4 linked regions of the Pelodiscus sinensis genome follow. The main gene of each other region encodes a partner of the protein of the gene in region 3 in a complex. Links are inferred from orthologs where the notes say so. Each region holds a gene or a part of one and is shown on either strand. Other genes may lie near its edges. The genes, in order: IRF2, ZBTB16, IRF2BP2 and VGLL4.

Region 1 (7,072 bases), on a different chromosome or scaffold from region 3:
TGAGTACTTCAGCTTTCCCCACATCCTCTGTCACTAGGTTACCTCCTTCATCCATTAGGGACTGCACACCCTCTCTGATCACCTTCTTTTTGTTGACATGCCTGTAGAAACCTTTCTTGTTATCCTTCACATCCTTAGCCAGTCGCAACTCCATTTGCGCTTTCGCCTTCCTGATAACCCCCCGGCTTTCTCGAACTATACATTTAAGCTCCTCCCTAGTCATTTGTCCAAGTTTCCACTTTCTGTAAGCTTCCTTTTTGTGCTTAAGTACACCAAGGATTTCCCCTGTAAGCCAATCCGGTCTCCTACCAGGTTTGCCTCTCTTGCTACGTGTCGGGATGGTTTCTTTCTGTGCCTTCAATAAGGCTTCTTTAAAATACTGCCAGCTGTCCTTGACTCCTTTCCCCTTCATGTTAACATCCCAGGGGATTCTTTCCATCAGATCTCTGAGGGAGTCAAAATCTGCTTTTTTGAAGTCCAAGGTGTGTATTTTACTACTCTCTTTTCTTCCTTTGGTCAGGATCCTGAAATCTACCATCTCATGATCACTGCTTCCCAGGTTGTCACCCACCTCTACGTCCCCTATTAGTTCCTCCCTGTTTGTGAGGAGAAGGTCAAGCTGTGCACGGCCCCTGGTCGGATCCTTCAGCACTTGTACCAAGAAGTTATCCCCAACATTCTCCAAAAACTTCCTGGATTGCCTGTGTACTGCCGTATTGGTTTCCCAACAGATGTCAGGGTGATTAAAGTCCCCCATGAGAACCAGGGCCTGCGATCTAGAAGCTTCGCTCAGTTGTTCGAAGAAAGCCTCATCTACCTCATCCACCTGGTTCGGTGGCCTGTAGCAGACACCAACCACAACATCACTGCTGTTTGCTCCTTTAAACCTGACCCATAGACTTTCAACAAGTTTTTCTCCCTCTTTATACTGGAGTTCAGGTCTGTTTGGACCTGTGTGAGTTTCTGTGTGTGGCTGATGGATTTCCGCTCCCATACATGTTTTGTTAGTCTTTAAGGTGTTACTAGACTATTTGTTGTTTTTTAAGATTTCCTGTTACAGACGAACTCTCTGAAGCTATTAAAGATAGTAATATAGACCCCTGTTTTTAAGACATTTTGCTTGTTGTTTATATTGGGACAATGACTCATACTTGTCAATGGGCATCTTAGATTGTAAACTTATTGGGGGAATTAACAAGGAAAGTCTGTATTCCATATACTACTAAGCACCATTTTTCCACTCAACACATTAATAAAGGTCCCCGAAAGTCTTCCTACCACTACACCTACGGATTAGCAGTAATACCTTGAAGAGATTTTTTTAAAAATTTCCCACTAAACATACCAAGGTTGGGAGCCCTAGTACAAGCACCCCACCATCTGCCACTATTGTTTAAAGCCCCATATCCCCTGCGCACACACGCCAGGGATGTTACAGGCCCAGCTTAGAGACCAGGTCACAACAGGGCTCCCGACGCTGCAGAACCGAGCAAGCAAATACTAGGCTCCTTCCCCTCCAGTGCAGCTCGAGCTACTCGAGGATAAAAAAGGCTGCTCGGCTGCCAGCACAAACTCTGCTGGAGGCCCGGCGCACGCAGGTGGGTCAGTACCCAGGGCGGAGACTCTCTCTCTGTTTCTGGGCAGTGCGCAGAAGGAAGCCCGGAGCCGGGGCCGATGCCGCTGGAATACAAACAAGCAGCAGCAGCGCGCACAGGCCCGGGCTCCAGCACGCGGCCTGCAGGCAGGGCCTGTCGGCATCACTCGCAGTGGCCACAGTCTCCCTCCCCGGCGGGCGGGGAAGGGGTCACCCAGGGCCAGTCTCTCCGCAGCAGAGGCCCCGCCGGGGGGGGGGGGAACCCCAGCGGCGCGCGCTCCCAGCCAGAGCCCGACGGCTGGCGGCGAAGACAGCGAGCGGCGCGCGGCAGGGCCCCGCCATTGGGCGCGAGAGGCGGCTCCGTCACTGACTGGCGGGGGGGGGGAGGAAGCGCTGGGGCTCGTATAACCAGCAACGCGGCCTGCCGCATGGGGGGGCTGACACCTTTCCGCGCGCCCCCCCCCCCGCGGCACCTCCCGCCCATGCGCCCCCGCTCGGGCCTGCAGCCGCCGCCAAGCCCCACAGGAAGCAGGAGCCCGCGGGACTCGCCCCTCGCCCTTCCGGGGCCTCGGCCCGCAACAAGTGCCCCGGCCCCGCCTGCCTTTCGCTCCCCCGCTCGGGCGGGGAAGGGGTCACTCGCCCCCGGGCGCAGCCGCTGCCCTCCCCGCGGCTGCTCGCTCGGTACAAGCCCCCAGCAGCGCGCCCGAGCGGCACCGGCCGCGCTGCGGGGAGGGGGAGCTGATCACCTGCAGGAAATGTCCGCAGCCCCGCCACCCCCGCTCAGCTCCGCCACTCCATTAACTTTCCGCGTGCTGCAGCCGCCGGGCCAGCCTCGCGCCGCGGGGGTGGAAGTTGCTGCTTTTCCGTCCCCTCAGCGCTGTTTGGCGTCTTTTTCTCCCGTCCAGCTCTCCCTTTCCCATCTGTCACAGCGGGAGAATTAAACGCTTCCCTCCTTTGTTTCCGTTGTTGATCTTCTCCCCCCATTAGACCCAAAATAAATTCAAAGCCTAAACCCTGCCGATCTGGGCACACGGTTGGTCTCCACACGGTCCGAGACAAACACATGTCCTTCCAGGCGATCACCCTCTCAGCCTTTTCAAATGTAAAAGTGAAATTAACCTTCCTCTCCCTAGCAGCAGCTTCACCTAAAATCATATGATCCATACAACGCTGACCTTTTCTTTCTAAATCAATATTATTTGAGAGCAGGCACTTCCTGTTTGCCAAACATTTGTGTAAATCCACATACAGATACAGTAGTAGTTAAAAAATTACCTTGTTTAATATGTTATTCACGGTATTTATATAATTCCTCAAGGTTAACGCTGTTGCCAGGGGATGCAAAATGGAAATGAAAACACCCAGCTGAATAATCGCAGGAGCAAAACTAAAAGTTACTCCCTCTGCTTTGGCTGAGAAGAGTCCAGATCGAAAGCAAAACAAGGAGAGGAAACTGCGAGGAGCTGAGGCTTGGAAATTCCCCCCACCTCTCCCCGGCCTGTTTGTGCAGAGGGGGGTGGGAGCCGAGATGGGAGAGGTGCGGAAGTTTACCGCAGCCTTTCATTGGCAGACACAGCCGCTTTCATCATTTCTCGGAAAAGTCGATTTCATTTTCACTTCCCTCCAGCAGCGGCAGCGAGCTGCAGCATGTGATGTGTAGAGGCAGAGAGACAGAAAGAGCTTTCTGTTACAGGGCAAAGAAAACTAAAGACAAGAGAACAGCTTCATGTTTTTTCCCTCCTCCAAAAAAATCCACAATTAAAGTGACTGGCAGATTGTTCTCTTCCAGGGTGGAATGTTGTTGGATTTTTTTGCTGAGGGAGAGGGGAGCTCTATGGAAATCTAGGTTTAAAGGGAAATAAGCTTATGTGCTGTAATTGAACAAGCTTATGTGCTGACAATAAAATGGTATGGAAAACAATCCTAGTGTCTCAAGTATATAAGAAATGGGCCTAAATTATAAGCCAAGTCAGTATGGAAGGGTTGAAGCTAAAATAAGTCCACAAATTTTGTAGGCCTGACAACACGATGCAGTACTGAGCTACCACTACATTGATTCCTTCTATGCAAAGATGTTATGCAGCAGTTGGCCAGCATATTGATGGCCACCACATACTCTATTTTTTATCTATTTTATATGCAGTTTGACCACTGCATCTGAAAATCATTATTTCATTTTCAATCCTTCCTAGTCTGTATTCAAAACTTTGTTTGTCACTGAAATAATATATATTTCCCATCAAGAGTCCCAATCCCACACATCTTTGCTCAGATGGAGCTGAGTAATGCTTTAAAGGAGTTAACCTCAGGATTCTTCAGGTCTTTGCAGTATGTTGTGTCAGAAAATATATAGTCTTGTGGTTAGAACAATATCCTGGGACTCATTTTCCAGCTTCACCACAGAGTTTCTATATGATTTAAAATGTATACAAGTATAGCTATATTGATCAAGGGTGAAAAACATGCACACTATAGTGACACACCTTTGCAGACTAAACCACTAATATAGATACAATTATGCTGACACAGAAGAGGGCTTCTGGGCAAATAGCTAATGGCATTTGGGCAGATGGTGTTCCCATACCAGTAAATTGTCTCCTGTCAATGTATTCTATATCTGTACCAGCAGGTTATACAGGCATACTCTTTGTAGTGTAGCCACATCCTTAATCTCTCTGGGCACATCTACATAGCAGGGCTAAAGCTGAAATAAGCTACGCAACTTCAGCTAGCTTATTTCAGCTTTTCACATTGTCTACACAGCAGTATGTCGAAGGAAGAACACTCTTCCTTGGACTTCCCTTATTCCTCATAAAATGAGGGTTACAGGAGTCAGAGTAAGAAGTCCACCAGCTCAACATTATTTCAAAATTATGTTGAAGTAACTGCTTGCAGTATAGGTGCACCCTATGTTATTTTGGAATAATGTCTCAGCTCCTATCTGTAAAATGGGAATGATATTAGTTCCCTGCTTCCGAGAGGTGTTGTGATTTTCAATATTTTAGACTGTGATGTGTTCAGGTGCTACAGCAATGGGAGCCCTAAAAATAAATATCTGATGGTAAAATCAGAGCACTGAAATACCCATAGTAATTAGAATGACATGTATTTCTTGAAAACATAGGCCACAATCCAAAAGGAAGACAACTTAGAGTACTAATCCTTACACCCTTACTTAATTTTGCACATGTGAGTAAGTCCTTTGATGTGCATGCATCTTTCGATGACTGATCTTCAAGATTGGCAGGAGAGTCTGAATTCATAAATCATATTCATTTTTTGTGTAAAGCACAGTATTGTAAATCATAAAATAAAAATAAAAAGGCAAAATATGAATGACCTGCCGCTCATCCATGAGGTGAAAAATCCCTATGCACTGGCTCAAACAACTCATTCTGGAAAAGGAGAACAGTGATGTTGATGAGCTTATGCAATATTCAGCTTATGCTTGTTCAGTTTGTTTACAGAATGATCTATCTTTAAAAGATTTTAGTTTCAATTTGCTGGCATGTAAAATACTTGTTATATGTAATAATATAGAAAAAAGGAAATCTTCCCTTTTTTTTTGGAAAGGGCAACAATGTCAATGACAATCATTTGGCCCATCCATTGAAAACAGAAAGCAAGCTGGTTTAGTATGTTTATTCATCTTTCCGTAATCTTTACAGTTACACAGAATGAAACCGTTGCTTTCCTGAGGCCTAATCCACTAACATTAATTGAAGATTCCCATTGACTTCCTTGTGGTTTGGGCCTTCCATCATGGGTGCATTAAAAGAAAGCAATTCTCAGAGTAATGTTTGGAATCTCTGGACCATTGCAGTACCTTAATTTAATATTTATTCTCAGACAACAGTAACAAATGACAGTTTCTGAGGCCACAGTTAGAGCACATATATTAGGATCTAGGCATTTACTAAAACTGGTTCACATGACTTGCTGAGGGCCAATGTTGTAGTCATAATCATTTTGTAGTGCTTAAGAAGGGAAAGGAAACAGAGATATTTATTATTGTTATTATTATATTATTTTATTAATTGTCACTGGTGAGTCAATTTATCCAAAGGAGACTGTGATCTCTCAAGATTTTGTAAAATCAATATGATCTGACAATTTTAGGATTACAAAATTCAATTCAGAATTCTCAATAAATACAAACATCTGGTGCTACTCACTGTACCATTGCCAATGCTTGCAATTTTTATCACCGATCTCTCAATATCTGGTATCTTCCTTAAAGTCTCAGCTACTGGAGTCAAGTGATCATATCACCATCACAGCTTTCATTTAAAACAAAAGTTGGGATCATATCATTTAAGAAACCGAGGGATGACAAGCAATGCCTTCAGAACTTCTGAGTGAGGAAACGAATTTTCATTGCACAGGTACCATAAAGGTGAAGTTTTAAAAAAGGAACTACAGATGAACACTCAGTAGGTCTGACTCTGAGTACTAATCAAGCATTAATGTCTCTGCACCTGCCTTTTTGCCTGTCTCCCTCCCCCTGTCCCTGACAAGGGAGGGAAACAGTTATGGAAAATTGTCTGGGGGGGTCAACTGGGATGTCTCTTGCATAGGATTTGGGGGCCAGACACTTGCTGGGTTTTAGAGATTGCGCCACACTCATCATTTCCCTCCTGGATGTTTGGGGGGAGGGGGATTTCCCTGCAAGCGATTGAGTACCAGTGGAAGGTGTTGTGCTTAGAGTCCTGTAGGGCTTCTCTCAGTCCTTGGGGGTAGGGGGCGGGCTCTTCGGTCTTCACAGCACCTCGGTGGCAGCTGGAGTAGGAGGGGTAAAAGGAGGAAGAAGTGATGCCAGTTTCTGGAGAATAGCAGTGGCCTCAGCAACAGATGGGTCCCAATAGTATGAGTGTCTGAGTAGGGCAGGCACCTGTTTTTGGGCTAGGTCCCTTCTCTGGCCATGTTCCCAACATGATTGTGAACCGTTATTAACTACTTTCTGAGAATGGTCATCCAGCCAGTTATGCACCCGCCTTATAGTAGCTCCATCTAGGTTGTATTTGCTTAGTTTATTGATAAGAAGATCATGCAAGACCATATCAAATGCCTTACTAAAGTCTAGGTATACCATGTCCACGGCTTTGCCCTTATCCACAAGACTTGTTATCCTATCAAAGAAAGCTATCGGATTGGTTTGACATGATTTGTTCTTTACAAATCCATGCTGGCTGTTACCTATCACCTTATTTTCTTCCAGATGTTTGCAGATGGATTCCTTAATTACCTGCTCCATTATCTTTCCTGGCACAGCAGTTAAACTGACTTGTCTATAGTGTCCTGGGTTTTTCTTATTTCCCTTTTTATAGATGGGCACTATATTTGCCTTTTTCCAGTCTTCTGGAATCTCTCCTGACTTCCATGATTTTTCAACGATGATAGCTAAAGGCTCAGATACCTTCTCTATCAGCTTAAGTATCCAAGGATGCATTTAATCAGGCCCTGGTGACTTGAAGATAT
Region 2 (7,342 bases), on a different chromosome or scaffold from region 3:
GCCAGTTTTTCCAGAAAATCAGCCGCTTTTCCGGAAAAACTTGCCAGCTGTCTACACTGGCGGCTTGAATTTCCACAAAAGCACTGACTTCCTACTGTAAGAAATCAGTACTTTTTGCGGAAGTACTATGCTGCTCCCATTCGGGCAAAAGGGCCAGTGTAGACAGCTGAGATTTGTTTTCCACAAAAAAGCCCTGATCGCGAAAATGGCGATCGGGGCTTTTTTGCGGAAAAGCACGTCTAGATTGGCACGGATGCATTTCTGCAAAAAGTGCTTTTGCGGAAAAGCATCCGTGCCAATCTAGACGCTCTTTTCTGAAAATGCTTTTAACGGAAAACTTTTCCGTTAAAAGCATTTCCGGAAAATCATGCCAGTCTAGACGTAGCCATACAGACTAACTTGGCTACCTCCTGAAGCTTCTTTTGCTTATGGGGGTCAGAACTTCCAAGTCTTGTATTTGACTTGATTTGGAGGAGAAAATAAACCTTTATCTTAATTAAAACAAGAACCTGGGGGGTGAGAGGGAGGCAAGAGGAGGGTTACTGGTGGTTGAATCTGCTATTCTAACATTTTCTCTGCATACTGTATATATGGCCTTGCTGAAGGACAAGGGGCTGACTTGAAGGTCAAAAGCAAATCTTTTTCTTTCTTTTTTTCCATCTTCCTTATTTCATACCTTTCAGAATTGCTCTGCTTTTCACTTCCTTTATGGTCACTGATCTCTAAGGTATGTCAGCTCTGGAACTCAGTCTATGTGTGTGGAGGAGGATGTACATTCTGAAGGCAGACGGACTGTTTTCTGAGGAGAACTCTGTTGTTCTTGTTCTTGTCAAGCGACAGATGTTATTGACCAGGCTGTTAGAACAAAGCTAACGTATTGATAAATATTGGTTTAAATTTTTAGTATGGTCCATGGCTTCAAGCAATAAGTGGTTTCTTTACACTATTTGCATACACCAGGAGGCCAAAATATGGGTAGTGAACACAGCAACCTTTACTGTGATGGCTCACAGCACTGAGTGTGTGTCGGGGGTGGACAGGAAAAGGGTTGTGGGTAGACGGGGAGAGAGAGGTAGAGCTGACAGATGCAGATGTGAGGGAGTGCACGGTTTGGATCAGGATCAGACTCTGTTACCGAGTTGGCTAATTCCAAAGACGTCTTCAGATGTGGTGACCGTGTAAATCGAATTTCAGCTGAATGGAGCCCGCAAGAGACTGTAATGCACAGACCTGACATATTGTCTATATCCCAGGGCGGTCTGGAGGTCTGCTAGTGCTGAGACAGAAATGGTGAGAGACAATCAATGCCACCAAAGAGTTTGCCAGCTAGATATTTCCTAACCCAAGCTGTGAAAGATGGTTCTAGTTTGGGAAGGGTGGGCGGGCTGGGGGGTGACATTTGGCAACTAGACTTTGTTCCAATTTGGAATGAAAGCAAAAATGGAGATTCTCTGGAAGGGGTTGGTGCCATGGACCCTGGATGCCCAGCCATGGGATACACAGCTCGAAGGCAGTTCATCCACATGGCTCCTCAGCATTCAGGCATAAAAACAGGCCCCTATGTTCCACTTTGTCAGAACCAAACAGTCTCAGCAGAATGCTTCTATTTCAATGCATTCTGATGGGGGAAGAGAAAACAAATTTCACTCCAGTTTTCTGTCCCACTCTATCTGGTGATGTCTTTTGCAGGCAACATGGAGACGAAACGTCTGTAGGCAAAGAAAGTGCCTTGAAGAGCCTCCATGCATGATATAACCACGGAAAGAAGTGCATGGCATGCAAGGTGATGTTAGACTGTCAGACTGTTCAGGAGTCCATGTGGAAAAGGGTTTGAACCAGGTGCCCACAGAAAAGTTGCTCTCACCATTGACATCATTCACCAATTTGTTGCCTTTATTGACAGCTTCAGCAAAGAAACTTGGGACCGAATCAGAACTTTCTTTTCACCCCCCACTGAAAAGTCCCCTCCCAGGGAATGTGCAAGCTAATTCCCAAGGGAAAGATCTAACAGTTACTTATTAGATTGTATGTTCTTGGCCAGGTACTATCTTCTGTGTTCGTATGGCATCTAGTACCAAAGGACCTTAGACTCTACTGCAGTACAGATGATGAAAATAAGAATGCGCATTCATGAAGTTAAATAACTAGTCCCTTTGCAGTTACTAGTCAAGGGGAACTAGTCAGGCGAGTAAAGCGTATGCATGTGCATATGTGTTTGCACGGTCAGAGCTATGGAACAACGACCATGTTTAAATGTGTATTTGTACAACATCTACTAGCATGAGGGCTTGGTCCTGACTGGACAATCAGGACTTGGTCCTGACTGGAGAACCAATGTAATAGAACTATTAAGGCACAGCTTGACACTGGGGGAGTATTTAAGTGCACTGTGGTCTGAGCTATACCTAGTCTGCAGATGAATGAGAACGTCATTTGTAGGGTCATCAATCCAGTATCCTTTGAAAAACAGTGATAGGAATTAAGTCTTTTAAACAACTCAATAGCTTTTACATTATTTTTTAAAAAAGAAAAGTGAAATGCACCAGTTCCCAGGAAGGACTGGGGAGGGAGGGGGGTAATTTTCAGCATGCTGCCTGGGAATGTAGCCCTGGGAGATCTATTATTGCTAATGGGACTCATGCGGCTTAATTTCATGCAAGCTACACTAGAAATGTACCCCTAGCTGTCTGCGAAATTTCAGTTCTGAAATCAAGCCTCTTAAAAGTTAGAGCAGGATAAACAGACACCTGCAACTGCTCCTCTCCCTCCACCATGGATTTTTTTCTACTTTACAAAGCAAAACAAAAGACGCAATGGCTGTGCAGATTTAAGGAATTTAAAAGGGAGAGGGGGTCATATGCATGCAGACTGGCAGCCAGCAAGTGAAATTTCATTTTGCTGCCAGGTAAAATGGCAGAGTTATAACCCCTGAAATATGGGGTTTAGTTGATGCCTTATCTTTAACTATGCTACTGAGAATGCCACACTGTAATGCTTATGTAATAACCCTCAGTGCTGTCTCTTTCATTATAGGGCCTCTGTTATTAGGCTGTTCTTGTTAAATGACTGCTATCATCTGGTCCCAAAGTACATTAAATCCCATTATAATTATAAACACACTTCCTATAACATTCTCTTTAGATTACATTCACACTGCTTTATCCCTCAGGGTATCTTTGTACTAATACTATTCTTACTTGCTATTTTAGCAGACAATATTGGGTCCCACACTACTTGTACCATGCAAAGGGAGAAGGAAGCATTCCCATTACTGAGCAATATTTTGATGTCCCCTGGAAACGAATCTTGTCTCATTTATTTCAGGCACTCTCCCCTTTTATATAAGGAGGCCTGGCTTTTAAAATGTGTTGAACTTTGGCACCCTACTATTCTGGAGTTTATGAATTGCACTATTCCTATATCTCCATTCCAAAGAGTAGCATTATGAACAAGAAGTTTGGTTGAAACAAAAGACAGGACAATGTAGCACTTTAATGACTAACAAGATGGTTTATTAGATGATGAGCTTTCGTGGGCCAGACCCACTTCCTCAGATCAATTTGTGGAAGAAAATTGGCACGACCATATATACCAAAGTGATACAATAAAAAAAAGTGAACACATATAAAATTGACAAATCAGATTTTAGAACAGAGGGGCGGGGGCAAGGGGAGACGGTTAGTGTCTGTGAGATAATGATATTATGCTGTTCATTTCTCTCTTTCTATTAAAAAAAAAGATTTTTTTTTGCAGCAAATCTTTGTCCCTGGAGTTTCACTGCCATTCTTATACAACAAGGAGTCCTGTGGCAGCTTAAAGAAGAACCATTTTATTATAAGCTTCTGAGGGATAGCTGAATTAGTCCCTAACTGGAAAAACTTAAAAAACAATGAATAGTCTAGCAGCACCTTGGCAACTAACAAAATGGGTAGATGGTATCATGAGGTTTTGTGGGTACAACACACTTCTTCAGGTGACTGGAGTATTAGAAGTCCAGATCCAAGAATAAATAAGGGGGAAGGGAGAAAAAAAAGAGGAAAAAAGAGTGAATTGAATTGTTCAAGTTACTAGCGTTTACAATTTACAACTTTCCTGAGTTGTAAGTTGCAACTCACGTCATCAGTTCCTGCCCTTTCTATACACGGTGCTTGTTTGGAATAGTGTCTTTATCTGGGCAAAACAGCCCATATCAAACTGGCGGGTACCTAATATTTGGCACTTTCCAGCCAAAATTTGGCACCATGCCCATGGCTTGTCTTTGTTACTTTCTCCATCTCTCAAACTCAGGCACCCTTCTCCCTGCAACACTTGCTAGCAAGAGGCTGGGCGTTCAAAGCGCTGAGTTTATTAAGCAAGGGAGATTTTTTTTTTTTTGTACCAGGAATCTGGGGGCTCGTCTGGCTTTGTCTTGTTTCAAGTGGCTTTCTCCGGCCTGAGGCCTAATTGAAGATTAGGATCGGGGGTTAATTGTGTATTTCTCCGCTGGGGAAGATCGGATGCTTCCTAGGGCGAGCCTGCCGCGAGTTAAAGCCATGGTGAGCGAGGCTGGCAGCAGACGTCCGCACCGCCGCCTTATCGCTCGCCTCGACGCAGTTGTCACATTAGAAGTTCAACAAGTTGAAAACGTCTCTTGTGTAGCGTGGCTCAGCCAGCGACACCCGCACGCTGGTTAGGCGGGGTTCTTTTCCGATGTACGGATTTCATGATGAGCACGCGGGGGTCTTACCCCCCTCGCTGCTGCAGCCCCGGCGCTGGGGTGCGTTCCTGAAAGCGGAGCGTGTGTGCACCGGGGGGAAGGACTGGGAGCCTGAGCTCCGAAGCGGGTGCCGCGTTGGCCGGGGGCGAATTGGAACCCGGCTCCGCGGGCGGGTGGGTGGCTGAGCCCCTTGGCTCCCGCCCTGAACGAGCCGCGGGGCGGTCAGGGGCCCAGCCGGGTGCGTGGATCCCCTGCGGGGCAGAGGCGAGGGGGAGGCGAAGGCGATCGCGGGGAGGCGGGGGCTGGCTCTCAGGCAGGTGCCGGGACGCAGCCGGCGGAGGGGCTGGGCTGGGGGCGAACGACCCCTCCCGAGCCCCACCACCCAGACCCGCTGGGGACACGGTCTGCGCGCTGCTCCCCTAGCGCCCCTCGCCCGCCCCGTCCCCCCGGCCCAGGCCGGCTGGCGCGCAGGGTGCAGCAGGTGCTGGCCCGGCGCGCTCCGATCCCCGCGGGGCCGCTCCGAGCCGGGTCGCAGGCATTGGCTCCGGTTCATTGATTCCCCAAGGCAGCCTCCTGCTCCTCCATGTTTGTTGTTGGCAGAGGCCAGCGGAGCCAAGCGCTGTCCAGCAGCCCGCGGGATCCGCGCCCCCTCCCTCCCCAGCCCCTGCGGCCGGTCCCCAAAGCCGGCCGCCGGGCCAACCCCGCGCTCCCCCCCTCCCCTCCATGCAACTTTTCGGTGACTTCCCTTGGGCTGGGGCAGGAGCGGGACCAAGGGTTTTTCCCCTCTCCCCCCGCCCCCAACTCCTGGGGGCTGCTCGCCTCTGCCCGGGGCTTGGCGGAGCAACCCGGGAAGCGACGGGGCTACAACAGACCCCCGCTTTCCTCTTGCTGCACCCCTCCCCCCGCGCTCCTGCAGAGCGGCTCGCCCCTGGCTACGCGGGGTGCCCCCTGGCTACTTAGTACCCGCAGCTTCCCCCCCCCCCCCCTCAGCGCGGCTGCTTCTGCCCCCGGGAGCGGCCCCGACTCAGCAGGATCGGGGCCTCGGCCCGTTTGCAGCTCCCCCGCCCTGGGCAGGACGAGCTGAGCGACGCTTGGAGCGTGTCCTAGCGCCGCTGCCTTGTGGAGGCCGGGCCAAGGCCGGGCGGGCTCATGGGCTGGCGAAGGAGGGATGCTCGGCGAAGCTCGTTCCCACCCGTCTCCCTCCCAATCCGGAGTCTAATTCGGATGGCTCGGAGCTCTGGCCGGGTCCTGCCGCGGGCCGGAGCTTTGCGCGTCTTTACGCTCGGAGCCCGGTGTCCTGCGCCTTGCGCGAGCCCCAGCCCAGCCTACCCGTCCCGCCGTGCAGCGATAGCGCTGGGGCCCCGAGCCTCCTGCCCCCGCCAGCCGCGTGGGAACGGGCGGCGCCAGACCGGGACCTCGACACAGCTGCCTGGCGCGAGGCAGGGACTCAGTCCGGAGGATGCTCGAGGTGCCCGAAAATCGCTTCTCCCGAGCTGGCGCCCTGAGGGGTCCGGCGTGGGGGGGGGGGGGGTAACTCTTCCCTCCCCTGCTGCCAGGTGTGAACCTGTTAGTACCCCCCCCCAGCGCAGTGTGGAAGGGCCGGGACTCGCTCCCGTTCCCACTCCAGCTCCAGAGGCGCCAGCGGGGTCCCTGGAGCGTCCCGAGTCCCGCTGCGCTCCCAGGGTGGGTGCCCCCCTTGGAGAACCTCCTGGCCCGGGAGGCGTGGGAAGTTTTCCGCTCCAGCATCTCCCCGGGTCAGGCGGGCGGCTCCCCGCGCCTGGGAAGCGGAGACCCCCCGGCAGCCAGGGCGCGCCGCGGAGGGAGGGGGTGGGGGGCAGAGCCTGGCGGGAGGCTCGGGGCGGGAGCCGGGTGCGGGAGAGCGGTGTGGGCACCAGCCCCGTGCCAGCAGTAAAGATGGTGCCCGGCCCGGGCTTCGCCGGGGTGGGAGCGGCCCTGACGCGGGGCGCCAGCCGGCGCGTCAGTCCGCGCGGTGTTGATTTGCTAACCTGCGAGCAGAGAGCAGCGGGGCAGGATGAGAGCGGGCACTGCGAACTGCCACATGCCGCCGCGGCTGCCCTAGCCAGCCCCGGTCCCGCACGGCGGCGGGGAGGCGCCTGCCATGCACTAGCCCGTGAGTGCCGAGGGGGGCGGCTTGCAGCAACTTGCTCCGCGGGGCGGGGGTGTCGGGGGGCTGCTCGCTCGGATGCCCGGGCAGGAGCGATGCGCGGAGATACGCGGGCTCGCCTGTCAGCGCTGCGCCTGGCCGGTTCTCCCTCGGGGGAAGGTGGGGGCGAGGGGACACGGGGGGGGGGGTTGCAATGGGCGGGGGGGGGTTGCAATGGGCGGGGGGGGGGCTGTGGGTCGGGGGGGCGCTGGCAGGAGGAAGCGCAGCGGTTGTTGTGATGTTCCGGCGGAGAGAAACATGTAACCCCCCCCCCCCCGTTATTTATTTGCTGCTTGCGGGGGGAGGGGGGAGCGGTTCGGCCGCCCCGATGCGTTCCGAGAGAGGAGGCTCCTTTCGGGGCCGGGGTGGGTGAGCCGGGGGTCGGGGGAGCGCCCTGATTTTGGTTGATGGCTTTAGTTTTGCAGCGCCGGTCCATGTGGGGGGCTCGTGCGGGGAAAGTGTCCGCCAGGGCCCCTCCGCTC
Region 3 (7,447 bases):
GCTAGAAGCATTTCTGTTTGCCAAGTGCTCTCTAAAAAAAGCAGCGCAAGTCACAGCCTACACTGAACAGTAACTGTCACCAAGGAAGCACAACAAATAGTTGCTATAACAAAAAAGAGGAAATGCCTTTAAGTACATACCTTTTGTCTTCAAAAAAATATAGAAACACAATGTATTCAAAAAATCAAAATTATACAGCCATGTTTTATGAAGTCTACATTTCCCTTGTCTTGGAGATATATATATATTTATAGATATTTATAGATATATACATAATTCAAGCAGTTTTAGTTATAGGTGACCGTTGGGTTGTGAAACTGGAAAAAGTCACGAGTCTCTCTCTTTTTTCACTTTCACATCTCCTGCAAGAATGGTTGCAATCTCCCCCTGCATGAAAGCCCAAGGGACATTGGAGCCCACCAGGGGGCATTTCTCCCCACTGGGACAATATACCTCGCCACTAGCTCCTTGTTGTTTGATGCTTTGTCTGGAGCAAGGGAAACAGAACTTGTGGGAAGGGACAGAGGGGCACTGAACAAAATGGGTGTCTTCCAACCGCTCGTGGCACAGGGTGCAGCACAAGGGAACACTGGCTGCTAGAGATGAGTCCGGGAGGCTGGCAGGATGCACTGGCTCCAATCCCCCAGCAGTGTTTGTCCCTTGACTTGGCACCTCCCTGCTTGGACCCAGCCTTCTTTGGTTCATAGAGGACGGAGAGGGCGGGCTGTTGCTGTTTCTCCTGGTAGTGGAGTGAACTTGGTTGGCATCTTTGGAGGAGTGGTTGCCCCCTGCATTGTCTGCTACTAAAATGAGCGCAGCCATAGGGGATTGGCCATTCTGGGCTGCTTCAGGCGGTGTGGTCCTGTTGGAATGAGGCGAGGCAGTTGGTGGAGGGGGAGACATGAAAGATGTAGCAGTCATGGACATTTTCATCCCCTCTGATGATGTTGGCAACCAGGGCTGTGATTCTCCATTGATCTTAGGGGGTCCAGCTTCACCTTCTGGTTCTGGGGACGGCTTCCTTTTCCTTGATGCCCGAGCCCCTAGAGACGCAAAGAAATGGAGAGGAGGAAATGCACAAGAAAAAAAAAAGCAATCAGATTAACACAGCTATAAAGGGAGATACAGCTACACAAATCAAGCTTCAAAATGGTTCCATTTTAAAAGTATACACAGCCCCTGGTTTGCATAGAAATACCTATTATCTGACCTATGCAAATACATACACAACGTGACATGCATCCAAAGTAGGTGTGTGTGTTCTATACAACTTGTGCATGTGCACATCCAGCCACCACATGCAGGCATGCAACAACCTGTACAAGTACACAGTTCACACACACGCGGGCTGGCTCTGCAACGCTGCTAGGAGGCTGAAAGGTTACTGGTGCCTTCCCTGCAGCTCCTATGGCGAGCATGAACGCCAGGGAGGAAAAGCCCTATCTCTGTCAGTGCCTACCAGCCGGCCCTGACTCATAGCTCTCTGTTGTGCTGTTTCAGCACATGAACACGTTGCCACCTAAGCAACGGTGCCGCGTTAGGCACCAGGAAGTGGGAGTTAAGAGATCGGGGTTTGTTTTTTGGGGGGAGGGGGGGAGCAGACATCTCCCTTTGCCTCATACCTGCTTTGGCCACGGTCCCGTTGCTCTCGTACCCCAGCATCCTGCTCCCCGCCAGGCCGGGCTCCTTCTTGAACTTGCTCTCGAAAGGCACCGCGTGGCCCCCGTGCTGGTGTAGCGCCAGCAGCGTGTCCCGCACCGTCTTGGGCTTGCCCAGCCATTCCTGCTCCGCGCCGGCTGCCCCGCGGCCCTTGCCCTCGACCCCCAGCTCCTCCGCCGAGCCCCGCGGCGGCTTCTCCTTGCTCTCGTGCTCGCCCGCGCCGGCGCTACTGCTGCTGCTGGAGGACACGGAGCCGGGCCGCTTGTGCGCCAGCTCCCCGGGCGGCGGCGGCTGGGGGACGGAGACCTGCATGGGGGCGGGCGTCCCGGAGATGGCGGCCAGCGAGGCGGCAGCCCGGCTGCTGATGCTGATGGCCGCAGGCAGGGAGGCTCCGTTCATCAGCGGCACCAGGGTGGGCGGCACCGTGTGGGTCCGCCGGGGGTTCGGGCTCTGCCGGTTCAGCTCGGGCGGCTCCTCGGGCTTGGGGAACCCGTTGGGCATCAGGATCCCGTTCACCTGCCGGCTGGCCCCGTACTCGGCTCCCAGCCGGGGCGGCGGCCGCTCTGAGGAGGCGGCAGCACCCGCCAGCGGGTAGCGCTCCAGGGGCTGCGGCGGGGGCCGGGGCACCCCCTCGCCCGCCACCGCCGTGTGGTTCAACTGCTGCTGCTGCACCAGGATCTCCTTCGCGCTGAGCGGCGGCTGCTTGGCGTGGGGCGGCGGCGGGGCTCGGCCCTCCTGGAAGCTGTGAGCCCGCTTGAGCTGCCGCGCCGTGTCGATGACGAACTCCACCCGGTCAGCCCCCTCGTAGTTGACGCAGCCCCGGCAGACGGGCTCGGTGAAGTCCCAGATCATGGCCCAGGGCATGCGGGGCAGGTCGCACAGGTAGCACGACTGCCTGCGGGAAGCAGCCGCCACCGCCGCGGACGACATGTCCCAGCCCAGGGGCAGCGAGCGCCCCCCGCGCGTCCTCCTCCTCCTCCTGCAACCAGAGACCAAGCGGGCAGGCTCCGGGCTCTGCAGCTGCCGCAAGATCTTCCGCCCGCTGCAAACAAGCGGCCCCCAGCGAGCGTGGAAGTCACTGAGACTAGGGCAAGCGCATAGCCCCGTCGCGGCACCCTCGGCTGCCTACTCCAGCGCGCTGCTCACTCCGCCTGCCCCGCTTGCTCCCTACTGCAGCCCGGGCGCTCGCACTGGGGCGGGGACTCCAGCAGCAACAGCAGCCGCCGCCTGTGCGCTCTGCTCCAGTGACTCGATTCTTCGACAGTGCCTCCGAGCGCCTGCGCGCTGGGCGCCCTCTTCTCTGGCCGCCTGCTGCTGGTGCTGCTCATTGAACTTCTGCCAAGAGTCCCAAGACAACAAGAGCTGCAAGAATAGCCAGCTCCCTCCTAGTCAGCAGAGGGTGGGGGAACGCCAAGGGCTTGCACATGTGAATGGGATGTAAATAGGGGTCTGTGGGGTCCTTATTTGCAGCCTAGGTATTATTTGTGAGGAGGTAATGGCTAAATACGTCAGCAGGCGTGAAAAATATGTTTAACAAAAGAACAGATGCCATCTTTACTTGATTGTTAAAATATTGTATAAGATTAATTTTGTGATGGCTCACTTTTGGCCGGAATTTAATATAATCTTTGTTTTAATCTTGCCTTTGACACTGACTCATTCCCTGGCCTTGAAGAAATCACTCCAGTCTGATCCCTTTGACTAAACAACTTTCGCTGACTTTCCCAATTTTTCCGTTAAAAAGGGTTAATAATACCTACACCCAGAGGTTTTCGAGGGGCAGTTGGTATGTGCACAGAACTTGGAAGATCGAAACAGCTACTCAATGTAATTTCCTTATTCGTTTAATAGAGATTTTCGCATTGCCTTACGCTAAGATGGAAGGGACCATAATATATACAATTGCTACTTATCTCTTTTTTAATGTTTCATTTGGGTCGGAAATAGGACATTCTAGGTTTCCTCATTTGCAGCCACAAATCTTCCATTTTCTAGTGATCAGCAAAGCGCATGCTAAGTAAACACAGCCCCTCCTCCCCAACCTGCGGACATTTTTTTTCTTCCTACTTCCGCACTAAGAATTCCAAACAGCTCGTTTGACAATTGCAGCCAGTCAAAAAGAGAAAGGGATGTTCTGTTCATTTGTCATTCGCACATGAAGTCATCATTCAACCCAGAAGTAGTCCGAATACATAGAGGGGGCTGTGTGTGTGTGTGTGTGTGTGATTGTGCAGCGTAAACAAAGTGGAAGCTGTTCTCTCAAACTCTTGCTTGTGGGTCACCATTCCCACAGTGCTGCTGCTGACTTATGTAGGTTACAAAGGGAGGGATGGAGGAAGCTGAGCTCTGACGTCCGCATTTTGTTTCAGGGCTGCAGCTGCGCCCTGTGCGCAGACTCAGTCAGGGACGTGACTCAATGCAATTGGCACTTGAAACCTTATTAAACGAAATGCACATTCCAGGGACAGACTCACAGAGAGAGAATCTACAGCCAGCACCGCCGATGCCCCGTCACAGCACTAAGTACCGCCTCCCTTGCTGCTATTTCTGGGCTCTCAAAGCTCCCTCCTCCCACTGCCAGGCTTAACTTTTACTTAACGTAGCAAAAGCAGCATGTACAGTAGTACACAGGAATGGGTGTAAGAGCCGCATTCTATACTGTACTACTCTCTCCCTTTGCACTGAAAATCAGATCAGGCTTTTGTTATTCATGTGTACAGCTCTCTATTAATGGAGACCGGCTGGCATGAGGCAGCTTTGCGACTGCAGACAATGGTGGTGTTGGGGGTATTTTACACTAGGATATTTCCTCCTGCAGAACCAATGGGCAGGGGGCAAAAGGCAGAGGCGTTGACTTGTAATTGCTGACCCAGCTGGGCGTTTTTCATGTTTTGTTATTTGCAACCCACGAACGGGAGACGAAGCATGGACACGATATTTTATGGAGCTAATTAGTGTGATGTCATCAAAGCAAAAAGTCAATTGATATAATGTCCTCGCTCTATTTGCTAAGGGAATGCTTTCATCCAGCTGCAGAGTTAAGCTAGGGAAATGATCTCTAACCCTCCCCCCCCCCCCCGCCGCCGCCGCCGCCCTTTAAACAGAGTTTATCTGTCAACTTTTCGAGCTCCACTATTTTTTTCGAGAATCAAACGCCGTAGGCCGCTAACGCGACACACCCCACCCCAACCTTTCTTCTTTAGACTGGGATGAGCTAGCTTTCTTGGAGGCAGCGTGTGTAAATTAGATGATCTCCCCTACTGGATTGGCAAGGCAAGGGGAATGGAGCCCTGCTAAGGTTTTTACCGTGCTGCTATCGACACTGCCAGGTTTTTTTAAGGCGCGGGGAGGGGGGGGGGGGGGACGGGCGGAAAGAAACCACCCTCGAAGAAATGACTGTGTGTTGATCTTCTGTCATATTTTTAAAAGCCTGTTCTAAAATTTACCCGAAGGACATTTAATCCCAAACTCAAGCGTTTTGACATGCAAACGCCACATGATCCTCCTTTGGGGGATTTCCAGAGACTTTGCCGCCGTTTGCTAATGTGCTTTCTGACGGCGCCTCCTTCCCCACCCCGCGCGCACCGGTGCAACCAGCGCTGATGCAAAATCCGCTTCCCCCCACCCACATCAGTGCAAGTGCAACGAGGATTTTGATACAACGCCACTATCCCCCTCCCTCGCGCACCTTGGAACCGTAGGTAATACAATCCCCCCCCCCCCCGCCAGCCAGTTGCAAATGGTGACAGAGCAGATCCCCATACACGCCACTTGCCCTCTGGCTAATGCGATCTGTCCCTTCAAGGGTTAAGCAGTTCCCCGCCCTTCGAGCCTTACTTTTGTTTCAGCGATAACATAAACACCGCCTTGCACGTTTGCTCAAAGCAAACCTTGCCATTTTTGGGACTGCCCTGTCAGCGATAAGCGAAATTCAAAAACACGGTCTAGATGTAGGTTCTCTCGCTCCCTCTCTTTGGATACATGCATGTGCGCTCATAAAAGGAGACCGCTCCTTTTATTTTCATATTCATAATCCCTTAAATATTTGCAACTCCATTGGCATAGCTTCCCCGGTGACCTTCCTGAGGTTAGCTTGCCAATGAAAGAGCTATTTTTTTTTGGACTGCACTCCCGTCCTGAATTCCCCCGGGAGCTAAAAGGGTTAACACATCTTGTTTTCTGCTTCACAACAGCACTCCCGTTCAGATTGTGTAAAACTCCTTTAAAGCTACTCTCCCCCCACCCTTCTAAAGACGCTTTATCAATGTATACTAAGTAAACAGATTTTTGTTTTTGTCTTCCTCCCACAACCCTTTCTCTCCGGACTGAAATTGGATTCCTTCCAACCCGGCTGCAGCAACTGCTGCCTACACACTCACAGGGTTTCTAGGGTGAGGCAATGCGTCTGCGATTCGCGGAGACAAGGCAGGAATTGTAATTGCACTGCATCATGTGATAGCTTATGAAAGAGGAAGTTAGGATGTTTTAGTCACGTACTCCTTTGCCCTCTTGCTTAGCCTCTAGGTTCTTTGAAGGAAAAATTACATGTATTTATATATGTTGGTTGGGTGCCAAGAACGACTGTTTGTGCATTTAAGATCACGAGCAGTTAGTAAAGGTGGGGGGGGGAGGAAACCGTTCAGCTGTGGAAGGCTTTAAACTGGAGGGCAAATTGTGCTCACTTTTCCTTCATTCTAACAAGAGCTTGTTGGAAAAAATCAAGATGAGCAATTTTAAGTTTTTAACTATAATTTTATTGCTCCGAATTAACTCTGGAAAAAACAGGAGGGAGGCATAACGTCTGAACATGATTTTCCTGAAACAATGGCTGGATTAAATAAAAAATGTAGGCTTTATATCATGACCTGTAAACTCCCCAAACCTAATGATTTCATGGGTTTAGTAGAATGGAACTGGTCAAACACAAGATATGTTCAGTTGCTCTCCCTCTCTCCCCCCCACCCATCATATAGACTTGAGCTTCAAGACACCTACTGGTGGTTTATGGTAATGCCGTTTTGCCTGAAAATAACTTATTAAAGGCACAAACTGGCCATATCCTGCTTGCTTTACACAAAGTTTAATTGATTTCAACAGGACTGCCTTTGGGTACATGATGAGCAGGATATGGTCTATTATAATGAACAATGTGCCCTCAATTGTGCATAATTTCATTGGTAGTTTTGCTGATATAATTGAATTACTTGCTTGCACCACTAGGTGGGTGCACACCTGGTAGCTGTTTGTAGGCCAGGCAAACACCTATCCTCCATTCCCTCTTTACCCCCCACTTCCTCCTTTGTTCCCCATGCCAGGGGCTTTGTGTGCCCCCATTTCTCCTTCATTCCCTACCCGGATTTCCTATTTTCTCCTCCATGCCAGCCACTGTGTGTGTCCTCCCCATTCCCACAATTCTCCAAACTTCCCCCACCATTATTATTTATTTTCTATTTGTCTCAACTGGGAGATAAGTTACCATGCTGCCACGGTGCATGACATAAGTGGTATTGGGAAGATGGGCAGTGTGGGCATGGGGAGGGCTAATAGTTATGCTGGAAGATACCATCAATTATTGATCTGTAGAGAATTAAAAATCCATACAGTTCTCCCTTTTGAGAGCTAAACCATTCCCTGAAATTTTGTAATTGAACTTATGCTGAGTTCAAAAGTTTCCATATTCTGTCCAAATAAACGGAGAAATGCCATCAAATTGAGCATAAAGCCTTGCAAGCTGGGCCAACTAAAATTTGACATTAAATTTTATGCACATTTTGGATATATTGTTATT
Region 4 (6,921 bases), on a different chromosome or scaffold from region 3:
AAAACCAGCAACATGCTACAATTTTCAAAAGCACTTGAAGTAAAAGGTATCTACCTCCTATTGAATTCCAATGGGATTTAGACACCTGATTTTCTCCAACTCTTTGGAAATCCCAGCCTATTATAGAACTAATAATCACAAAGTGTATCTTATCTTACATCTACCAAAGTACTTCTCATGAGAACTTGTAAATGTTAAGTAGTTCAAGTATGAACCTCAATAAAGACTAATTAATTGAATCTGAAAAAGCACTTTATTCTCAAGTATACATATTACTGCAACAGAATTTGTCTTTTCAAAATCACCATCAACCATCATTGCTGACAACTCCTCTGTAAAATAAATACTTTGGCAGCAACATGGCAGAAGTGTAGGCATCTCTAAAAACACCCTTCAGAACTCAGTTAAGATGTGGTCAGTGTTTATACTTTTTAAATCACTGGGATATAAACACTGCTCTAGGGTTGTTGTTTTTTTATTTCTTACTTATGTTTATTTTAGAGTTAAAACTAATGTTAACTTCCATAATAAGGAAAATTGCAACAGATGTTTGAACTTAAAAAAAAACAAAAAACTTGTGTTCCTTGAGCTGTGCTTTTGCTTTCAAACTATTAAAATTATGATTTATCAACAAATACTAGGTAATAAATACAATTGAATGAAACTAGTAAGATCCAAAGCAACAAAACTTTTTCCATCTTGTCAGCAAAACCCTCCTCAGAAAAATCCATCAATCAAGCAGAAATTCTATTTCTTTGCCATTTTCATCAGGAACCAACATCATAATAAAGCACTTAATTGTTAATGCAAGACAATGACGAGATTACAAAACTCGCAATGTTCCTTTATCCAATCATTTTTGCATTCACAAAATTTCAAAAAAGAAACAGCAACATGGGAAAGAGAATGAAAGTCTGATTGCCATGCACAATCTGCACCAATACTGGCTGGCAAACCATTTATTTGCACAGCAGATTTCTGAAAAGAACATTTCTACATAAGATCTATGATTTTGTTCAAATGGAAAAAACCTGAAGTGAGTTTTGCCCACGAAAGCTCATGATACTATATATATTTTTGTTAGTCTCTAAGGTGCCACAGGGCCACTCATTTTTAAAGTTACAGATTAACATGGCTACCCGTCTGAGACTTTTGGAGTCATTAATAGTTCTATATGTACCCTCTGCTCCCCCCTGGTACTTTGAAATTTTGCCTAACTTAAACTGAGGTGAGAAAAGGAAAAGACATATTGCTAGAGTAAGCTTCTTGATTTTTGGGTTAGCCTTTTTTTAAACACATGTGAGTAGTTACCTCTTGATCACATCTATTTGTTTCTGCTTCTTTCTTGACAACTATAAAAGTTAACTTTCCAAACGAACATGGAAAATGTTCCTGCTGAATTAGAAGAGAGACTTCTGCAATGTTTGTATGTGGCTACAGCAAAACCTGCCCTCCTGCCAAGCTGAATTAGCTCAGTGGTGTCTTTCTTTCCACTCAAAGCCAGACCACTGGCACTTCTTCAAACTGCACATCGACTGAAAAAGATCTAGATCAAGCTAATTCCCTTCTCCCTTTACCTAAGGCACCTTTAAAACAAGGCTACTATTACCTACAGGATCATAAGTAAATGTCGATTTACATTAGCTGGACACAAATAAGCAAACTCACACAGAGAAGACAAAAAGTTAAGTTTTCCAGGGCATTGTGTAATTCTTTCCACAGGGACTATGTGGAGTGCTCTTGGGGAGGAGGTGTGTGGGTGAGGATGAGGGGGGAGACATCCTTCACTGTCAGGGTTTTCTCGGAGCTGGGCCGGAAATGATAAGTCAAACAAAGGCCACTCTGTGCTCCATAATATGGGTGCCCTTCAATTGCCAAAGATGAACTGTAAAATGTGTTATTGTTCAGGATGTAAGCACCAAATTAAAAACAAAAACCTGTTGTAAGTCTCGCTGTACAAATGCTTCTACTCTGTGTTTCAGAGTATACATTTAATGGCGTAGATTACACATAGGCAATGTACTTTACAAATTAACACAGACAGGTATTATAAAGTGTCTGAGTGTTTCCTTTACAGAATTACAACTATATTAACACAGGCAAAAAGCACAGACTATTGCTGCTTTAATGTAGTTCAATCAATTCCGTCTTTGCTGGGCGGGAGGGGGGGGGGGGAAGCAACCTTCACTTCATATTAGTAAGCAGAAACTTTTCCTTTAAAAAGAGTAATTTAACCTCCATTTCATAAATCCCTTTAAGCCTCTAGATACACTACAAAATACACAGTACCTGGTAACAACTATAAACAGAAATAGCTCACACTGAAAACATCAAAAATACCCCAGAAAAAAACAAACCTTCTGCCAAATGAAACAAATACCTTCATAGCACAGAATGCCAATATTGTTGTTCATCTTGTCCAAGTACTGGTAGTTCAACAGGTCCATCTTCATAAATAGCATTTATCGGGCTAACAAAAAGACCAGCTTGTTTGCTTTTGCCCAGAAGCAGGGAGAAGGAAGCTGGACAAATGCTGCCAGAATAACTCCTGGTTCTTTCTAAACTTCAAAAACTCAAGGCCCAGCCTTTGACTAATCAAAAATAAAGTATAATAAAGCAAAGCTGGAGAGAGAGGGAGGAACCTTTCCAGGATTTCGAGACTGAATTTATTTCCCCCAGCTACAAATAAAAACGTTTTTTAAAAATCCTTGCAAATCTTTCTGGAAATTTAAGAGGAAAAACAGAAAAATCAAGGAAATTTCCTAGGACAAAGCCAAGCTATTTTCCTCACAGCCAGCTGCAAGTTAACTGCACTGACATGCAGGCTATGCTTGGTATGAGCCCTATGTAAACTAGCTTCCTCTTTCTATCAGGCAGTGAGCATGCTCACTGAATCCCTGGAGCTCTTCAAATGTCAGGGATATTTTCTGCACAAGATCAGTCTCTAAATGTACTGAGTGTTTGAAAGAAAGGAGGAGGAAGAGGAGGAGGTGGAGAGTCTTTACAGAAGAGGCCATGTCAGAGTTGCTCTTGACAGGAAGTAAGCTACCACTGGAAAACTGAAAGGGGGTGGAGGGGAAGATCACAGAAACAAGGAAAGAGGCCTCTTTTCAAGTGCTAAGAAGTCGACCAAGCTAAATCTGCAGGCAGGCTTCACTTTCTGAGACAGGATTTTTTCCATGTGACAGAATAGAAGTTAAACTTTTATTTTAAATTATTCTCCTCCACCAAATTAATTTAACATATACAGCTGACATTTATTTTATTTGACATTAATATGTTTGTAATTCCCATTTGACCTGGTTTCAACATGTTGTAATGAGTGTTAATTCACCGAAAAATAATAAAATTGAAAAATTAACAAAATGGAGTTTTAATGGCTCCACGATGGAAAATGAGAACTACAACTAAACCACCACATTAACTCTTTGAATATTGGAGGTAGATATGCACACACAGATCAGCCTCTATGCTACTTTTAATCAGTCTACTGCTACATTTTAAATCCCGAAGGGATGTCAGTAAAACAATTCAGGCTCTGGCTTTTTAGTGCCTGGAGAATTCATTGTTCAAGCTTTGGTTTAAAAGGACAGAAACAAAGGAGATTTTTTTACCGCAGTTGTTCTCAGGATGTGGCTTGCTTTGCTGCAATTCGAACCTTGATCTTAAAGATTTCTAAAGGTCTCAGAAATCATGATACTTAATGTTCAAGTAACTAGACAATTTTTTGTATAGCAAACAAAATAATTTGCTAAGTAAAGTTTATCATGATGTTTTTTGGCTCCCAGATTTGAGGCAGTAAAGGTGTATCCACCTACCTCCAGGCTAAAAATAAGGTACTTTCTAGAGCAGGGAATTTTTTAAATGAAGAAAATGACATTTGCAAGTTCAAAGGGAGATAAGGCTGGAAACATTATGCAAATACCTAGCTACTCACTCTCTGATGCAAAAATCATTTTTCTCCCTAGGACTTTGAGACTCTTTAGTCACATTAGAATTGACGATTTCACGGCTTCTTTTCTTTCTTTCAAACCATTTTCATTTACTAAAAGCAACATTTTAATAAATACTGCAAGAAAGATAAGAAAAAGAAAGGCTAGATTTCACAGTTACAACACCGACAAAGGAGAGGCAAGTCCCCCCTGCCTGAACTCTAAATTCTAGTAAAATTAAGGAAAGTATTTACACTATGTGTAACTTAGTAGCTACAGCATTCCTGAATTTCCATTACTACCAGCTAAGGTCTATGGGAGAAAAGATAAGTACTAGCATATTCCAATTTACAATATTTGAATTGCTCCTGAAGTGTTGGTGGTTGGAAGAAGGGAAAGCAACCATGCTATTTTCTTATATAAAGGTTCTCATACTGCAATCAGAGTGCTTTCTGGTACTGCATTGAGCAAAGTGATTAACATCTGCCACATGCTTCCAGTTAAACAGTTTTGTACCAATATAATACATATTTGTAAGCAATATAAAACATTTTAATTCATTCACAAAAAGAAATGAATGCCTAGTGAATGGACAGAAAGAAAATTTTTTTATGCCAATATTATATGATCAATCATTCTAAAAAATCCTCACACATATGAAATTGCTCATTCCAAAGAACTTGAGGAAACTTCTAAAATCCCTAACATGCTGAGGCATTGTAGCTACTAATACCAAGTATTCCTAGACTATTTCCCTGTAATCTGCTCAATGCACGCTTTCGAGGAAAGAATTCCCAACAGTCTTATAAATGATTCACTGAGCATTTTACCAGTTTGAAATAGCTCAGGTTGAAATTAAATCAGTGGCAAACATATGTCACCAGGTTATATGCCAAGTATGTGGTAAAGCAAACATTACTAATAGCATATTCCATGAGTTTTGTTATTTATGGATTAATATTACTGCTTAAAAGTTATAGCACTTGCAAGCACCATTAATTACTATACTTTTTGCATTATATGTGAACTACCACAAATACTTGTCTTTTGTAAACCAGGCCATTTTCCATGCACACAAACCTTTAGTACAACAGCATCCCCTGGAGCTAATAGCATGAAACTGCACACACATCTTCAGTAATGCGATAACTCTGCAATAAAGTGCACAGATTGTTCAGCCTAGCTAGAATAATTGTAATTCAGCTTCCTCACAGTACTGAATTCATCAGTTTATTAGCAATATGGCCCTGCAAATCCAATATCTCGTGGTCATCTCAGATCATCGACTTGCATTTTTGTCTGAAGAAAGCAAAGAGAAATCAAATGGAGGTTTTAATTAATGGTTAAATCAAAGTTGCCAAAACTAGAAATGGCTGGTAATGATGTTTGGACAAAGTAATGCCTAAGGAACCATTTTAAATTGTCCTACAGGCAGAATTACTCAGAATTAAGGAATTAAGAACTTAATCACTGCAAAATCCTTGGACTCAATCTTCTAGCAATTTTAAGGAGAACCACCGTGCATCAGAAACTGTTTTACTGAAGGCCTTCTTTAATACAAGCTGCGTATCTGGCAAACAGCCGTTAGGAAGAACAAATCACTATTTGTGTTCAAAGAGTTCATTAAATTTAGCAATTTCAAGAGTTATAGTAAGTGTTGAAGGTTATATTGTAAAAATCAAAAGGGTCTCAATCACATATTGTTTCTAGAATAGTGATAGAAATGTAGCCGTGTTAGTCTGGGGTAGCTGAAGCAAAATGCAGGACAATGTAGCACTTTAAAGACTAACAAGATGGTTTATTAGATGATGAGCTTTCGTGGGCCAGACCCACTTCCTCAGATCAAAAACTTCCTTTGATCTGAGGAAGTGGGTCTGGCCCACGAAAGCTCATCATCTAACAAACCATCTTGTTATTCTTTAAAGTGATATTGTTTCTACACATCTATGGAATTTTTCCACCATTTGAGATTTTAATATGCCAAAGAAAGTTATAAAAAAAACCCTGCTGTGGCAAAAGTAGATCTAGATGAATATTAGGACACAATTTTATCAAACAACCACATGCAAGTCCATATATAATTTGCATGCAGTTACCCTTAACTGCAAGCACAAAAATGGCCAGTTATTCCTCTACCTGGCCATTTTAGGCAGTAATAACACCCAAATTAGCTGCACAATTGTAAGACCGGCTACATCCTTTTCTGAAAAACAGCCCCAATATGATTAATAATTATATATGGCTGAATCCATTACCAGTATCTGTTTTTAATAGACAAACTATTTAAATGAGCTCATTAAAGATTCTTAGCTGAACCGCATTTTGGTTTCACTAAGATAGGTAGAGATAAAAGCCGTGTACACTTCAAAAAGTGAGATACCAGAAATTTTCCATCTTTTTGCTATTCATACTTCCATATAGCTGAAAAGATTAGACTCCTATTAATCATATACAGATGTACTGAGTCCAGTTTACCACTTACTGATATTAAGGATTTACAGTGAAATTTTCAATAGTATTTAAGTATCAGTTCAGATTATTTCAAAAATGGTGCTTGAAGTCCAAAGTCGTACTTTGGAAAATGTTATCCCTCATGAACAGCAATCAATTTTGGAACTGATAGAAAAAAATCCTATTTAAAGAGTAAACACGCCTTATTCTTGAGGTATATTCTGTGTAAGATATAACCTAATGGATTCCCATTTTTCAGATATTTCATATTCATGCACTGCCATTTCTAACATCACATAAGTATCATGCCACTTGGAGTGTACATTCATATTGACTAATGTCCTTGTTCACTGTCAAGGTGAGAGGCAAAGGGCACAAAGCATGAATGCTCCTCAGGAACAGTTTTCACTTTTTTTCTCCCTATTCAATTAAATTAATTACTGAATAAACACTGGTTGGTAGCTGCTAGGGGATAATGTACCTAAGACTAAGGGTATGTCTACACTTGCTCCCTAGTCCAAATTAGGGATGCAAATGT

The links.
Region 1: the proteins of IRF2BP2 (region 3) and IRF2 are in contact, whole or in part, in a crystal structure (PDB 8YTG), measured with the Homo sapiens proteins. The link is inferred for Pelodiscus sinensis from reciprocal best matches to the Homo sapiens genes IRF2BP2 and IRF2. Residues at the interface, in NP_892017.2 of Homo sapiens: His517, Phe518, Val519, Gln520, Pro522, Phe531, Leu557, Trp564, Ala565, Phe566, Met567, Glu570, Thr573, Ile574; in NP_002190.2 of Homo sapiens: Arg331, Ala332, Ser333, Val334, Ile335, Lys336.
Region 2: the proteins of IRF2BP2 (region 3) and ZBTB16 are in contact, whole or in part, in a crystal structure (PDB 8YTH), measured with the Homo sapiens proteins. The link is inferred for Pelodiscus sinensis from reciprocal best matches to the Homo sapiens genes IRF2BP2 and ZBTB16. Residues at the interface, in NP_892017.2 of Homo sapiens: Thr516, His517, Phe518, Val519, Gln520, Pro522, Phe531, Leu557, Trp564, Ala565, Phe566, Met567, Glu570, Thr573, Ile574; in NP_001018011.1 of Homo sapiens: Arg285, Ser287, Val288, Ile289, Thr290, Ser291.
Region 4: the proteins of IRF2BP2 (region 3) and VGLL4 are in contact, whole or in part, in a crystal structure (PDB 8YTF), measured with the Homo sapiens proteins. The link is inferred for Pelodiscus sinensis from reciprocal best matches to the Homo sapiens genes IRF2BP2 and VGLL4. Residues at the interface, in NP_892017.2 of Homo sapiens: Thr516, His517, Phe518, Val519, Gln520, Pro522, Phe531, Leu557, Trp564, Ala565, Phe566, Met567, Glu570, Thr573, Ile574; in NP_055482.2 of Homo sapiens: Arg161, Ser163, Val164, Ile165, Thr166.

The regions. Positions count from the first base shown.
Region 1 is NC_134715.1:76,082,921-76,089,992, forward strand, and holds the start of IRF2 (interferon regulatory factor 2), read right to left. Parts: upstream 3,002-7,072; 5' UTR 2,870-3,001; intron 2,594-2,869; exon of another isoform or gene 2,341-2,593; intron 1-2,340. UniProt on the Homo sapiens protein: Specifically binds to the upstream regulatory region of type I IFN and IFN-inducible MHC class I genes (the interferon consensus sequence (ICS)) and represses those genes. Also acts as an activator for several genes including H4 and IL7.
Region 2 is NC_134736.1:3,729,041-3,736,382, forward strand, and holds the start of ZBTB16 (zinc finger and BTB domain-containing protein 16), read left to right. Parts: upstream 1-4,341; 5' UTR 4,342-4,535; intron 4,536-6,023; exon of another isoform or gene 6,024-6,164; intron 6,165-6,227; exon of another isoform or gene 6,228-6,252; intron 6,253-6,356; exon of another isoform or gene 6,357-6,379; intron 6,380-6,685; exon of another isoform or gene 6,686-6,827; intron 6,828-6,861; exon of another isoform or gene 6,862-6,980; intron 6,981-7,166; exon of another isoform or gene 7,167-7,225; intron 7,226-7,248; exon of another isoform or gene 7,249-7,342. UniProt on the Homo sapiens protein: Acts as a transcriptional repressor. Transcriptional repression may be mediated through recruitment of histone deacetylases to target promoters. May play a role in myeloid maturation and in the development and/or maintenance of other differentiated tissues.
Region 3 is NC_134713.1:126,125,271-126,132,717, forward strand, and holds the start of IRF2BP2 (interferon regulatory factor 2-binding protein 2), read right to left. Parts: upstream 3,011-7,447; 5' UTR 2,590-3,010; coding exon 1,623-2,589; intron 1,044-1,622; coding exon 328-1,043; 3' UTR 1-327. UniProt on the Homo sapiens protein: Acts as a transcriptional corepressor in a IRF2-dependent manner; this repression is not mediated by histone deacetylase activities. Represses the NFAT1-dependent transactivation of NFAT-responsive promoters.
Region 4 is NC_134721.1:47,047,551-47,054,471, forward strand, and holds the start of VGLL4 (transcription cofactor vestigial-like protein 4), read right to left. Parts: upstream 3,010-6,921; 5' UTR 2,463-3,009; coding exon 2,381-2,462; intron 1-2,380. UniProt on the Homo sapiens protein: May act as a specific coactivator for the mammalian TEFs.